3 linked regions of the Schizosaccharomyces pombe genome follow. The main gene of each other region encodes a partner of the protein of the gene in region 3 in a complex. Each region holds a gene or a part of one and is shown on either strand. Other genes may lie near its edges. The genes, in order: tfg3, tfg1 and tfg2.

The links.
Region 1: tfg2 (region 3) and tfg3 share a complex: the UniProt entries of both Schizosaccharomyces pombe proteins name them as parts of the fcp1/TFIIF/polII complex.
Region 2: tfg2 (region 3) and tfg1 share a complex: the UniProt entries of both Schizosaccharomyces pombe proteins name them as parts of the fcp1/TFIIF/polII complex.

Annotation. Positions count from the first base shown.
Region 1 is NC_003424.3:893,102-897,158, reverse strand, and holds tfg3 (TFIID, TFIIF, Ino80, SWI/SNF, and NuA4 complex YEATS family subunit Tfg3), read right to left. Parts: upstream 2,161-4,057; 5' UTR 1,794-2,160; coding exon 1,752-1,793; exon of another isoform or gene 1,563-1,751; coding exon 1,394-1,562; exon of another isoform or gene 1,337-1,393; coding exon 1,185-1,336; exon of another isoform or gene 1,121-1,184; coding exon 758-1,120; 3' UTR 612-757; downstream 1-611. Other genes in the region: SPOM_SPAC22H12.03 (hydrolase), read right to left, coding at 1-282; protein mug35, read left to right, coding at 2,736-3,440. UniProt on the Schizosaccharomyces pombe protein: Functions as a component of the DNA-binding general transcription factor complex TFIID, and the RNA polymerase II associated general transcription factor complex TFIIF.
Region 2 is NC_003421.2:2,160,653-2,165,049, forward strand, and holds tfg1 (transcription factor TFIIF complex alpha subunit Tfg1), read right to left. Parts: upstream 2,522-4,397; 5' UTR 2,472-2,521; coding exon 1,932-2,471; exon of another isoform or gene 1,849-1,931; coding exon 1,753-1,848; exon of another isoform or gene 1,742-1,752; intron 1,712-1,741; coding exon 913-1,711; intron 864-912; coding exon 679-863; 3' UTR 543-678; downstream 1-542. Other genes in the region: succinate-CoA ligase beta subunit Lsc2, read left to right, coding at 1-248; protein Cwf26, read left to right, coding at 2,568-3,466, 3,507-3,513; nuclear pore complex component nup97, read left to right, coding at 4,380-4,397. UniProt on the Schizosaccharomyces pombe protein: TFIIF is a general transcription initiation factor that binds to RNA polymerase II and helps to recruit it to the initiation complex in collaboration with TFIIB. It promotes transcription elongation.
Region 3 is NC_003423.3:193,527-198,960, forward strand, and holds tfg2 (transcription factor TFIIF complex beta subunit Tfg2), read right to left. Parts: upstream 3,622-5,434; 5' UTR 3,550-3,621; coding exon 3,025-3,549; intron 2,966-3,024; coding exon 2,822-2,965; intron 2,719-2,821; coding exon 2,464-2,718; coding exon of another isoform or gene 1,319-2,463; 3' UTR 1,273-1,318; coding exon of another isoform or gene 1,152-1,272; 3' UTR 512-1,151; downstream 1-511. Other genes in the region: RNA polymerase I transcription termination factor/ RNA polymerase II transcription factor Reb1, read right to left, coding at 1-16; ubiquitin ligase Mfr1, read left to right, coding at 1,152-1,272, 1,319-2,463; fructose-1,6-bisphosphatase Fbp1, read right to left, coding at 4,573-5,434. UniProt on the Schizosaccharomyces pombe protein: TFIIF is a general transcription initiation factor that binds to RNA polymerase II and helps to recruit it to the initiation complex in collaboration with TFIIB. It promotes transcription elongation.

The sequences.
Region 1 (4,057 bases), on a different chromosome or scaffold from region 3:
ATGACCAATTATTGATGCTTTATCTAATTTGTGATCTTTCATAAACTGGAAAGCGTCCAAAGCCATGGCGGAATAGCTGAGAGGAGCTACACAGGGAGAATCTCCATGACACCTCTGATCAATAGCGTAAATATCCCGGTCAAGTTTGCAGGAAAACTTTTTTGCCAAACTTCTCCAATTACGCTTAGATCCCAATAGTCCGTGGAAGATCAAAACTGGGGGGTGTTTAGCAACTGTGGCAGAATACTTCTCAAAGGCTAATTTAACTGGTTTTAGAGACATAACTCTATAATTTCTTGTGCAGTAATAAATAAACACTATAAGGTCGATATAAAATAATTATAATTTAATCTGTCATGAAGTTGTAGTTGCAGGAAACGTTTGCGAATAGCAAAGTGAGCCTAATCCAAGGAATGATAAATAACTACTTATCGGCAGTGTGATCATAATCTGAATTGCTGATTATGAAAGCTAAAAAGGTCGGTTTTAAAATATTATGTAAGTAAAAACAAAAATAATTATATTAATCTAACCAAATATTCTTTTTCGAGACAAAAGCTACACCATAGTACCAAAATACAAATGTTTGTATCGCTGTTTAAGCGCAAGTTAAACTCAAAAAATAGTGAAAAGGAATGAAATTTCTTATTTAAATTATGATACAAGAACTCATTAAGCAGTCTTCAGGAAAAAAGTAGAATGGGGAAACTAACGCTTCTCCCTTAAAGTAGGCTGCACAAAACTGCAATGCTCTTAATTACATAGTGACGCGTTTAGCACAGAAACTGTATAATAAGAGCAGAAGATTGTCCGGCAGAGTATATAAGTCAATATGGAATTCACCCCCTTCAATGTCGTTTCGGACATACATGTCTGGTGTTTTGTTCTCATTCACCATCTGCACAACTTGTAACAAGTCATCCTCCTGAAGTTTTTGCAAACCCTCTGCAAGTTTATCCATGTCAACAGGTTTAGCTTTCGCCTTTTTCTTCCCAGCACCAACTTCTGATTCGTTTTTTCTTTTATCCTTACGAGCTTCTTCACCTTCATCACTGTAGCCAGGTACTTCTCCAGTGGCTGTCAGTGCCTTTAATAAACCTGGCCTAGTAGCATTGATATTCTAAGACTCAGTTAGCACCATAAAATCAGAGTCTAGTAAATGTTAAAATACTTAAAACACATACCAATTCGATATCCTCATGATAATGCTCCTGCTGAAAATGTAAATAGTGAAGGAACCGATGTTCACCACCTTTGTCCGCATAGTATATTATGATCTCCATTTCAAACTCACCCCATCCTTGCTCTTTTATTTGGAAAGGAGGTTTTCTGATAGCTAAAAAAATTAGTTAACGTTATTCTGCTAATCTTCCTTTCATCACATAATACATACTGCGTGTAGGATTTTGAAATGTTGGATGTAGCTTATAGGTGACACGATCAACAAAGGAAGCGTCAGTTTCTTCTCCCTGAGGATTTAAGCAGACCAATTTTATAGACCATTCCCTCACAGGGAAGCTTTGATCGTTCAACACAGCTGCTTCACCTCCCGGCAACACATTCTAAATATTGTAAGTTCAAAGTTCATCAAGATACTTGCAAGAAAAAGTTTTGTTTTTTATTGTTCTTCTAAATTCAATTGTACGAGCATCCTGTATAATGCCAAAGTTTTTTGTAATTGCACCTAACCTTGACCATTGGGTCAAATAACGCGCCTCGGTCGTAGCAAATGAATCAGATGGCTTTCATACCTGATCAGTAATTAATCTCACAGTTCTTTTCACAGTTGTCATATTCTTAAATCAATGTATATGAGGACGAAAAATATATGGATAGAAGACGCTTAGCGAGTCGTGAGAAGAGATATCGGGCTAACGATTCTATAACTTTTGCGGTATTCTTAAAATTGAAAAGATAAAAAATCTTGCCAATGTACGAATTGAAATAGAAGCACCAGTAATTTGTGTTCAGAAATATTGAGCACTACTACTTTTAAGGACTTCTAAAAGTCGGTTAACTCAAGGATAAAGCAAATGACTTTGGTTTAATAACAAATATCTCTTTTGTTAAAATTTATTAGCAGATTACAGGGAAGTAACTGCTAAAACTGTGAGACTATAAAACGTTTGAATAGTGGAATATGACTTTTGGGTTCGTCACGGCCCAAATTCCTGGAAAGTACAAGTAGACTTACAAACTGACAGTGAAGGTATGGTACTGCAGTGTAATATACTAAAAACTTTAATGCACAGTCAGTTTAATTTTAAAGCATAATAACGAAACTTTTGGATGCGATGAATTTTACTCGAACTATATAGTAAACAAACCCTCGAGCACCATGTTAATATAAGGCATTGGGTATATTATTTTTATGCAGAGGTAAGAGTTTATCCCGATTCCCAAGTTAGCTTATTCATAAATTGGATCTAGGCTTTAGCTGAAAGAACTTTGAACTATTGGATTCTTTTCCAGCGATGGATTAATCTGGCAACTTCTTTAGAACATTTGAGAATAACAAAAAATACCGCAGCAAAAGAACTTTGTTGCTAATACGAGAATAGTGAAAGTTGTTTAATATTTTAAAAAATTGATTGTGTCAGTAATCGATCCTCGTTATCCAGAAGCCGTGTCAGTTACGTATATAAATGGAGTGGTAGCATATGCGTTGTTCACATTGTCAATTACACCCGGCAGCTTAAGCTTTGATTTAATTTCACTTTAGTACACAGTGAAACATGACTAACGAAAGACATGATGAATTAGCATGCTTAGGCATATTCCCTTTGAAAAATCCCAAACAACTAGATGGTGTTGTTACCCCTATCTTGCAGTTGAGAGTCAAGTTTTTAGCACCCACGGATCGATGGTGGGAAGGATTAGTTATAAATAAGGACCTCAGCAAAGAGGAGTCAGAAGAGTTATGGAAATTTTTGCAAAGCTTTGACCCTCGTTCTGCCAAGTTTGTTGGTCGCGGGACACCTGAAGACCATGTGATATCGTATTTATTTGAAGCAGGGAAGTATGAATTTGAGGTATTTTTTTACCAAAAGGATCATTCTCTGAAACTTATGGGCCTCTATGATAAAACCCAAAAACAATTGTTGAGACGCGATTCTAGTGGTGACTTAACATCCACTGACAAGGAGCGGGATGTTTCTCCTGTTTCACACAGCGAAAAGCCTTACTGGGATCGTTATGATCTTGACCAACCTTCCAATCAAGATGTAGAAGAATCTAGAAACCTTGTCCAAGAACCTAAGCATCGATCGAAGAAATATGATCGTCTTGGTTTGGATGAGCTAGTAATGGAACAAACTGCTAGTCTTTGGAAAATCTGCTCCAGAAATGGCATGAGTGTCGATGAATTTCTACGCTTCATTCGCATGGGTTTGGAATCTAATTTCCAACATTCAAACCAAGTGATTCCAACGCATTTTTAACGATATTATATCATTCATATTCAATCGACACAAATGTTTAGCAACCGTTTAGTGTCTTTTACCCAAGAAATATCTAAACACTTTTTTTATTTTTATAAAATATTTGTAAATTAAAAAAAGATGATTAAAACGATAAATGCTTAATTAGGTATTTGTTGAAACACATTTCATTTTATGATAAAGAACGTTCCTAGTATCAGCATTATTTATTTAGATGTAAATTGGGAATTGAACCTAATTACACCTTTTATGTATACATTCTTCTTCACTTTCTAGCGGATTTCCAAACCGAAAGTCAAAGTCATTTGGAGATTGTATACATAGCTCTATAGCCGACGAAATTATGACCCTCAATTTTTATGGAAATAAAAAACACCAATTTCTTATCATTCTTTGTTTTAGTTCGTTTTACTTTAGCTTGGAATTATCAGATCATTATTTTTTGTAACCTATAATAACTATGCATATAAACCGTTAGTAAAAATCCGACCTTTTATTTTCAATGGTATCCTCACATTTACTCAAAAAATGGAATATCACGTAACAGCTTTCAACTCTCTTGTTTGTAATTAAGTATAGCATTTTTGAACATCTAATAATTAAACGTACACATTAAC
Region 2 (4,397 bases), on a different chromosome or scaffold from region 3:
TTCGATGCGACGTTATTGCCAAAGGTCTTATCTCGGTAGTATCAGCGTTGAATCTGAACATACCTATTATTTGCAGACTTCAAGGAACCAACCAAGGTGCTGCCAAAGAGGTAATCAACAACTCAGGTCTCCGTATTTTCTCATTTGATGATCTTGATGAAGCAGCTAAGAAGGCTTGTCGTTTCAGTCGCGTTGTCGAAATGGCACGTGAAGCCGATGTGAATGTTAGCTTCGAGCTACCTTTGTAGGCTGCTAATTTTAACGGCTTTAATGTATAATTGTTTACAACCCCCTTTTCTTATTATCATTACGACATACGGCATCATGGAATGATTTTATATAATGACTTGTGTATATAGAATTCTTAGCACAGCTGTTTACCATGTCTTAAAGAAATGGTTTGTTATTTTTCTTCTTTATATATTTTATACACATTTACAGTTATATAGTAGCATAGTTGAACATCGCGATCGTAAACTCGTGTATTTGATACTATACCGATCGACGAGTGCACTTCTTAACAATCCGACGTTTTCTATTTTAGGGGAAATGTTAAATTGTAATAGTTCTACTATGCTCTTAAATTAATGCAATTTTGAATTTTGTTTCCAAAAATAAAACAAATGTTTTCTTTAATGTTCATTAATATATAAACGTTATTACATAGATAATTCATAACTAGTTTTTTAAAACGAGTAGCTTGTTCTCAAATCGAGCAACCTTTCGAATGATCTTCTGTATTCCCAACCGATTTCTGTTGTCGGCTCTAATTTTGCGTTGGAACAGGTGAACTAGATCCTTAATAGAAATGGGACCAGCTCTTAAAGCCTTCATTACCTCTGCCTCCGTAATCAGATTAGAATCTAAAAGCACGTTAATAAATTTTCTGGTAAATGTAAAACTTTAGCATACCATCAATTGGAACATTTGTAGTATCTCCCACAACCTCCACTTGATCTCCTACACTCGTTTCTGTAGACCCCATGCTAGGGACCATACGGGGAAAGTCATTGGCAAACCGTGATAACTTTTCACTTGATAAGCGGAGAATTATATATCCAGGTTTGTTAATAAGTTGTTCTTGAGGCCTTATTTGAATAGAAGTATTAGGTGATTGTAGTTGCGATGAAGCTTTGACAGGAGATACGCTGCTTGGCGTTCGTTCTAGTGGTCTTGGTGTATTAGTTTTGGAAGCGTTCGCAGAAAATCTAGACTTTAGTTTTTCTTCACGCTTTTGCAATTCTTCTTCTTCTTGCAAAACTTCTTCTTCACTAGACGCATCATGGGAGGAAGCATAAGGGTCCTCATCTTCCTCATCACTCTCATAAGCTAAATTCTTTTCAAGCAATTTTAAGTATCTTTGCAGCTTTTTTCCTTCACGCGACATTTGTCTATCATTCTCCTCTTCAAGGTCGACATCTTGATCAGCTTCACCAAACAAATTGGCAGTTAGCATTTCCTTTTTAATCTTGTCTTTCAACTTCTTATTATCTTCTTCATTTCCTTCCATAATAGGTGCTTCTTCATCGTCAGCGAATTCCTCGTCATAATCTAGTTCATCATCACTTCCACTAGCTCTCGGTCCCGTTACAGGACGTGCATTTGGAACCGTCTTAAGTTTATACATGGGTGAAGCAGAGCCTGCCTCTGCTAAGTTTTCTTCACTCTCCTTTTTCATAAACCAGCGAGGAATCGGAGTTTTTTTATTCATCTAAATGGGTTAGACAAGACCTGATGGAAATAAGGACTGACCTTTGCCTCCGCTTCATCAATTGAAAGCGTTTGGAAATTGTTACGTTGATTAAATCGATAAAATCTATCAGTTGGAATCACCTTAAAACCATTTTCCTATAGAGTAAGCATAAAAAATCTTAAATGATCAAAAGATGAATGATAAACATCCAACATCTTCAAATGGGATAAAAACTTACAGAGAACATGAACAATACATATGCAGACGATTGGCCGCCTTCCATCGTACTAACCCATGTGTTTTTTCCTTCAAAATCTTCCATAATCCAAGGAGATAACTCCTCCTCTTGTAGTCTGCGGGCCTGTGGATCAACTTTGACGACCTGGCGAGTTTTCCTTTTAAAGGCATTCTGCTTCATGTTTTGAGCGCCACCGTAAGGAGCGATTGAAGCGATGTTCACGTTACTGGAGCTTCCTTGTTCTGCATTTTGTTCTCCGTTTGACGAAGATGGAGCATTGGGGTCTCTGCGTTGCATTTTTATGGGTGGCACAAAGGATTTGGAAGGATCAATGGCTTTGTTAGAGTGAAATTTTAATAAATGGTATTTAGTTGTTTTTCTTTCACTCTCTGGACACCATGAAAGCTGGAAATCCAAAAATTTTTGCTGCGATTGTGTCGAAGCATTATTTTGGGAGTCAGGCTCCTCAACTTTGGGTTTCTTCTCATCAGGATTTTCCTGCTTTACATTTTCAAAAACTTTTGTCTCTTGTGAATCCATGTTCTCCGATAAAATATGTCAATACTGATCTTCCGCCGGTGTTGGAAGGTAGCGAGTTAAGAAGCGCTCAGGTAAGAAAATATGCATTCAGCACATATGTCAAACGCCGACTATATTGCTAAAAAGTATTTACGAAAAGATCAAGGGAAAAAGAAAAAGAAGAAAGAGAAGGATTTTGTAGAAATTCAGGATGAAGATGTCGCTGGATGGGACGATGACAATTCATTTTCACTAGTCAACAGAGAACTCACATCTTTGCATGATGCCCCTACAATTGTCGCAAATGAAAGCCTTAAAGATCGAGATATTGATGCTATTTATCAGAATATAGAAAAAACTACTAATAAACCTGCTCAGTTGTGGAAAGCTGTGGGGAATGATGAAGTTGTCGAATCTGAACAACAGGATTCTCATGATGCTGAATCAATTCCTCAGTTCGGTCTGTTAACTGGAAAGCAGGTGACCTTTAAAGCTGAAGAAAGAAGAAAGAGAGAAGAGAAATCATCCAATCTTGATGAGGAAGAGCTTCGCAAAAGTCGCGAAACTGTTTACAGAGATGCCACAGGGAGAAGGATAGATCTGGTTCTTGCAAGAAAAGAAGCCAAAAGAAAATTAAAAGAGAAAGAGGAAGAAGCTAGAAGACAGAAGGAACAACAACAAGGTGTGGTTCAAGTGCGTCAACAGAAAGAATACCTAAAAGAACTTGAAAGGCAAAAAACGGTGCCATTGGCGCGTTATGAGGACGATCCTGAATACAATAAGGAATTGAAAGAAAGGTCTCGTTGGAATGACCCAGCTGCTTCGTTTCTCACTAATAAACCTGTATCATCAAAAGCTACTTATCAAGGATATGCGCCTCCCAATAGGTTTAATATACGACCTGGCCATCGTTGGGATGGAATTATTCGTGGTAATGGATTTGAAAATAAATGGTTTCAGCGCCAAAATGAGAGAAAGGCACAAGAACACGAGGCACATATGTGGGCAATTGAGGAGTAAGTAATCAGTTTTTGAATAAATCTCTAACGAAATCAGCATGTAAATATTTAACGATTTCATTATTTCTTCTGCTGAAAATGGAGGAGACTATTTGGTTTCATGTATATGATATTGTAATGCGAGTTGAACATAATCTCTTCTAGTTTACGAGTGTCAACCGAGGCACAATACTTGATTTTCCAGATTCTGTCCCATTTCCTTTAATTAACTAATGGCTTTGATATTTACCTACAAAAGCAAAACGCTTATAGCAAATAGCTTTATTGGGAAATCGCACACCACGAGACAATGGTAGCCTTATCTATACTAAAATATTTTTTGCTAGTTTATATATATTTATTTTTAAATTTCTGACGATTTCTTAATCCTATATTCAATTATGGGTCATTAAACGTATGAGTATGAGCGACCACGGCTGTTAGTAGTAAGAGGGTTTGAAATATCATCCATTCAGTTATTTCTCTAAATTCTGAACACTTTTTACCAATATTAAATATCATTTCCCTATTGCTGTCCCTAAGGGCCCAAATAATTCACTGCTGATTCTGTGAATTCATATGTATTGGCTTTTAAATGATAGTAAGAGCTAAACGAGAACAATCGATGTTTGAAAATAGTATTTTAAAATTTTTAATTTTATACTTTTTAAGCCCTTTCACATCCACATAGACAGACTTGACTTCACACTTGCTGTATACGTAAAGCAAAGCTTTTTGCATAAGAATTTGTAATTCCAACCGAGTACAAGGATGATTCAAATACTCTTTAACGTTTTACTGTTGACCTGTTTAGTATGAAATATTGTTTTTAACAATTAAGGTTCGGTGAACTCGGTGACTTCAATTTCCTTAGTTCACCGAGACAGATTCTCTCAAACGCATTGTGCTTGTTTACATCTTGACCATCGCCATGACGGTTGCGTCTGAC
Region 3 (5,434 bases):
ATACGGAGGTATCCATAAAGATTATATTTTTGAAGTACTATAATTGAGTAATCACTTCAACTTATCAATCGCTAATATCGTACAAAACGCTTCGTGAGCTTTAATTCGCAGTTTGCTAGCACAGCGATTTAGGAAGGGTGGGACACAAACTGAGGAGTGTAAATCTGAAATAAAGATGGTTTGTTATTAAGGGATATATCGACACGCTGCATTTCCTTATAGGCAATGCTAAGTAGTACAACGAAAACATTAATGATATACAAAAAATGTTGTTTTTGCTTACCACTTAGTACAAAAAAACTCATATTTATTATCGTCCTAAAATATGAAATTGTACTATTAATCAAATAAACAAGAAATGCAGAAATATACCAATAGTATTTAATTGGAAAAATTAGTAGCATACGAAGATTTGTCTTTAAAAATGAATATCCCAAAAGAAATACAGAAATAGTTAGGAATAAATCAATTGAAATGAGAATGAGGAGAAAATTTTTTTTGTACTCACATACATGGTAAAAAGTATTTGCATTCGATAGTAGTTGGAATTTTTTTGAACGAATCTATAGCACTATTTACTCTGTTACAAAACAACTAAAATAAATGTTTAATTAATTGAACATTTTGAAGAAATTGGGTTCTTGGCAATAAGTTTACAAGACCGGGATCTGATGATCATAATAAACATTCAGAAAACAATGGGTTTGGCACATCGTGGTCAACTGATCATTGTTGTTGTTTTTCTATGAACATCATATTTTAGGAGTTCTCTTACCATAACATCACCTTTTGCTGGTTGATGACTATAATATTGTTATTGAGATATTTTTTATCAACAGTTTGTTTTGATGAGTGCATTTGTTTAGTTTAAACGGTAGCATTAGGTAATACGGCGATCACAGGATAGCTTTATTTTTAGCAGTTATACAGAGTATTTAGCAAATGTTTGTTTACTGCAGTCATTATAGCTCATAATTAGCATTTTTTCAAGCCACCTGGTTTCATAATTCTGTAGCAATGTCTTGCAGACGGGCAGAAAAAAGCACTCAGTAAAAACAAATAAAGCATGGAAGGTATTTATTCACGAAATAGGAATCTCAACATTTCCCTTCCATCCCGACTAACTTCAACTTATAAAGAATTGGTTGACAATGGGAGACCGATTCATTCCCATTCGCAACGTTAGCAATGAGTTCAACTTTAGTTTCCAGTCATTCAAAGAATGTGTGTTAAGCCATGGATCAAATCTTAGGCGCAAAACCTCTGGCACTAGTATGTACCTTTTTTAGTTTTATATTCCCATTACTAACGACAGCAGTTCAAAGGCAATTCATGGAGCTACTAAGCATGGAGCTCTTCGGTTCACAAGCATCTCGCTCTAGAGCCTTCTATTATGGAGAAGACAAAAGGAAAATTGAGAAGAAAATGTTGGATACACCTGATAGAAAATCATATTCTCTATCTCCTATTTCACCGCAATCTCAAGATATGTTGCGGCAACCACAAAAGCCCAAAAGAGCTTTTCCAAAAACTCCATATAAAATCTTGGATGCACCTTACTTAAAAAATGACTTTTATTTAAACTTGCTTGACTGGGGCCAATCTAATGTCTTGGCAGTCGGACTAGCAAGCAGCATTTATCTCTGGTCAGCAGCAAGTGGTAAAGTGGTTCAATTACATGATTTCGGAGCAACAAATCATGTCACAAGCGTCTTATGGACAGGTAAAGGAACTCAATTAGCTGTAGGGACAGATTCAGGAGTAATTTACATCTGGGATATCGAGTCTACGAAATCAGTCAGATCTTTAAAAGGTCACTCCGAAAGGGTGGCAGCATTAGCATGGAACGATAATACCCTCACAAGTGGAGGCAAAGACGAAGTAATTTTACATCATGACCTAAGAGCACCAGGTTGCTGTGCCGAAATGATGAAAGTTCATGAACAAGAAATATGCGGATTGCAATGGGATAGAAGTCTAGGACAGCTTGCTTCAGGAGGGAATGACAATAATTTATTCGTATGGGATTACCGCTCTTCACGTCCTTTACATAAGTTTGAAGAGCATACAGCAGCGGTCAAAGCAATTGGATGGAGCCCTCATCAACGAGGGATCCTCGCAAGCGGCGGGGGTACCATCGACAGATGTCTAACGATTCATAATACTTTGACTGGAAGGCTACAAAATAAGTTGGATACTGGCTCACAAGTATGTAACATGGCCTGGTCCAAGACTTCTAACGAAATTGTTACTACTCATGGTTTTGCAAAAAACCAAGTATCCTTATGGAAATATCCTTCATTGAAAAATATCGCCAATCTTACTGCCCATACAAACCGTGTCCTCTACCTTTCTATGAGTCCCGATGGCCAGTCTATAGTTACGGGAGCTGGGGACGAAACGCTAAGATTTTGGAAGCTTTTTAACAAAAAGCCAAAAGAAGAAAGTACATTAATTCGTTAATCAAACAACATCAATCATCTCAACCCCATCATCATCTTCATCCTCTTCAGCATTCGTTCCAGGATTATCAGGTGATGTATTTTTGCCTGTATGATCGATCGAGGATGACTCGGATTGAGAGGCTTGTTGATTGCGCAACTCGACAGATGCAGCATCCATTGTGCCCTTGTATTCAGGCTTGAGGCTGTATTTAAGAGCATAAGGCCCTCTTTTATTCAAAATAGCAATACTGTCTAAAACTTCTTTGAGATAAACCTAATATGAATTCATTAGTTTAATTCTGACAAATCAAATTAAATAAAAAATGGATAATTTCAATTACGCAAAGAATATCCATTATCAAAGTATAGTGACATACCTCTGGTTGTTTAACATATTCACGAAGTCCTTTAAGAGTCCAGTATTCGTAATCTTCAAAGCACTTAAACAAGATATCTAGTAACTCATTTCTAGGTATACGGGAATTCTTAAGACCCTCCCCAGTCCTGGGTTTGACATTTCTCTGAAAAAAAAGTTAGCAGTTTGATGCTTACAATTAAACATTATATTTGCAAAACATACGATAAATGAAGTTGTGCTTCTCGAACGAGAACCAAGTGTTCCAGGTGCAAGCAAACTACCTCCACGATCATCTATCATTTGAACTTTGCGTTTAGGGGCACTAGCTGCCAAAGCACGTTTTTGCATGACTCGGCGATAGTCATCATTAATAACAGGTGAGACATTGCACTCATGGGCAACGGTACCAACCAAAGCAGTACTTTTCATGCTACTAGATGTCTCTGATTCTCGGAAAACATAAGAATTCCTAACAAACTTATTCATTACGCGTAAATTATAAATTTTAGGGACGTCTGCATTTTCAGGACTGTTTTGAAGAAGTAATTGTATTTCATCATTCTTGACCCGAACACACCCTAGATTAGCGGCATCGTCTTCTGGAATTGAATTCCATTTGTCCATCAAAAACTTGGGAATTTTAACTAACCACACTCTTGAGCCAATTTGACCCAAATCTAAATCACCAGCATCGTCTTCATAGCGGTCATCCTCCTCAGTTCGAACCGTCGGTTTTTCTTCAGACATTTTAAATCCTTCAAAATAGTGAAAATTACTCAAGCAGTTTCCACTATTCAATGGTTCTTTCTTTAACAAGTTAAGAGAAAGAAGCATTGATGTCGCCTCCCTAAAGCAACTTTGATTTACGGTTCTTTACAAGCATCGCATAAATATTTTACCGAAATGTCATTGTACTTCACTAACTTATTTTAACAAACCGATTTAAGGTACGGAGTGAAGTCGAGAATTGCATATAGCCCTCGGTAATTTAAATTCACATAAAGTAATCAATCCTTAAAAACAAGTTTAGAATATTGTTAGACACTTTGGTATTTTAAAAAGATGTAGCTTTCTACGAGAAAAATATATCGAATGTTTAAGGGAGTACTGTTACAGAAACAGTTCACGTTGGATTGAATTGTTCGGTATTTCCTTCTTTTGAGCCTGTGAATGTCACCCTGGTCAAAAAATAATGTTATGAAGTGTACTGCAACTGACGGCGTCTTTACTTCCATTCAACATCTTGCCGTAAACAAAGACTAACTTGTCTACAGTCAGGATTTGGACTTTACGGTTTAGAAAATACAGTTAGCAGATGATTATTGAATACAGAAAAAATCACAACAAATGTAGCTGTTTGTTTTTTAATAAAGACATTTATTTCAAATGTACTTATGTATCCTAAAACATTACTTGAAAACATTAAGCTTTTCCAACGTCCTCTGAAAAATAGGTGAATTCCACCTTAAAATCTCTATCCACGACAAAAACTATTATCTCTTTTTCTTTAAGTTAAAAAACTAAGAGGTTGACAAAGTGCAACTGTCAACCATAAGTTTTTCATCTAAAAGATACATGTATTCATATACAAATATTATATATATATACATATATATGTGAGAAAAATAACCTAATTGGAGATCCATGTTTATGATGATGCAGAGAATAATTGACAAAAGTTTCAGTTTCTGCATTATTGGAATGGAATAACCATGTTTGGTGATAAGAAGATAAAAAGTAACGGAGAGGACTTCAAAGAACTAGGAATTACTATTTTATGAAATTAATATATTCCTCGACTTCATGTTTACTTCCAAGCCAAATACTGCTTTTTCCGTGTAATGTTTTGGGTACCAAATCCAGAATGCGATCTCCTTTGTCGTTTACCGCAATACCTCCTGCTTGTTCAACAAGGAAGGCCATGGGGAAACATTCGTAAAGAAGTCTCAACTTTCCGTTATTTCCTTTTGAGCATGGATAAGCAAACAACCCACCATAAAGAATGGTACGGTGCATATCGGCGACCATAGAACCAATGTATCGAGCAGAGTATGGTTTTTTGTCTGGTGTGCTTTCTTTGAGATGAGCAATAAAACGAGCGATTTTTTCATCCCAAAATGCAGTGTAACCCTCATTAATGGAATAAATACTATGTTGCAAAGGCATTTTCATGTTTCGATGGGTCAAGATGAATTCGCCAATATCAGTGTCCAAGGTGAAGCCATTGACACGATGACCTGTGGTAAGCAATAAATGAGCCGAAGCACCATACATAGTATAGCCAGCAGCAACCATTTCTTTACCAGGCCTTAAGACATCGCTAATATCGCCTTGACTGCCGGGTCGCAGTTTATAGATACCAAATATGGTACCTACACTAACACCGGCGTCAATGTTGGAAGAGCCATCGATGGGATCGCAAGTGACGGCATAGGAACCGTTGCTATCAACTACGATAAGATCCTCCTCTTCTTCACTAACGATGAGTTTGCAGCATCCGTTCGACTTCATCGCAGTAATGAAGATATCATTGCAAATTTTATCTAGCTTCTTTTGTTCATCGCCAGTGGAATTGACGATTCCCGATAAACCAATGAGATTTACCAACTCTGCTTTACGAATGGTGTTGGCG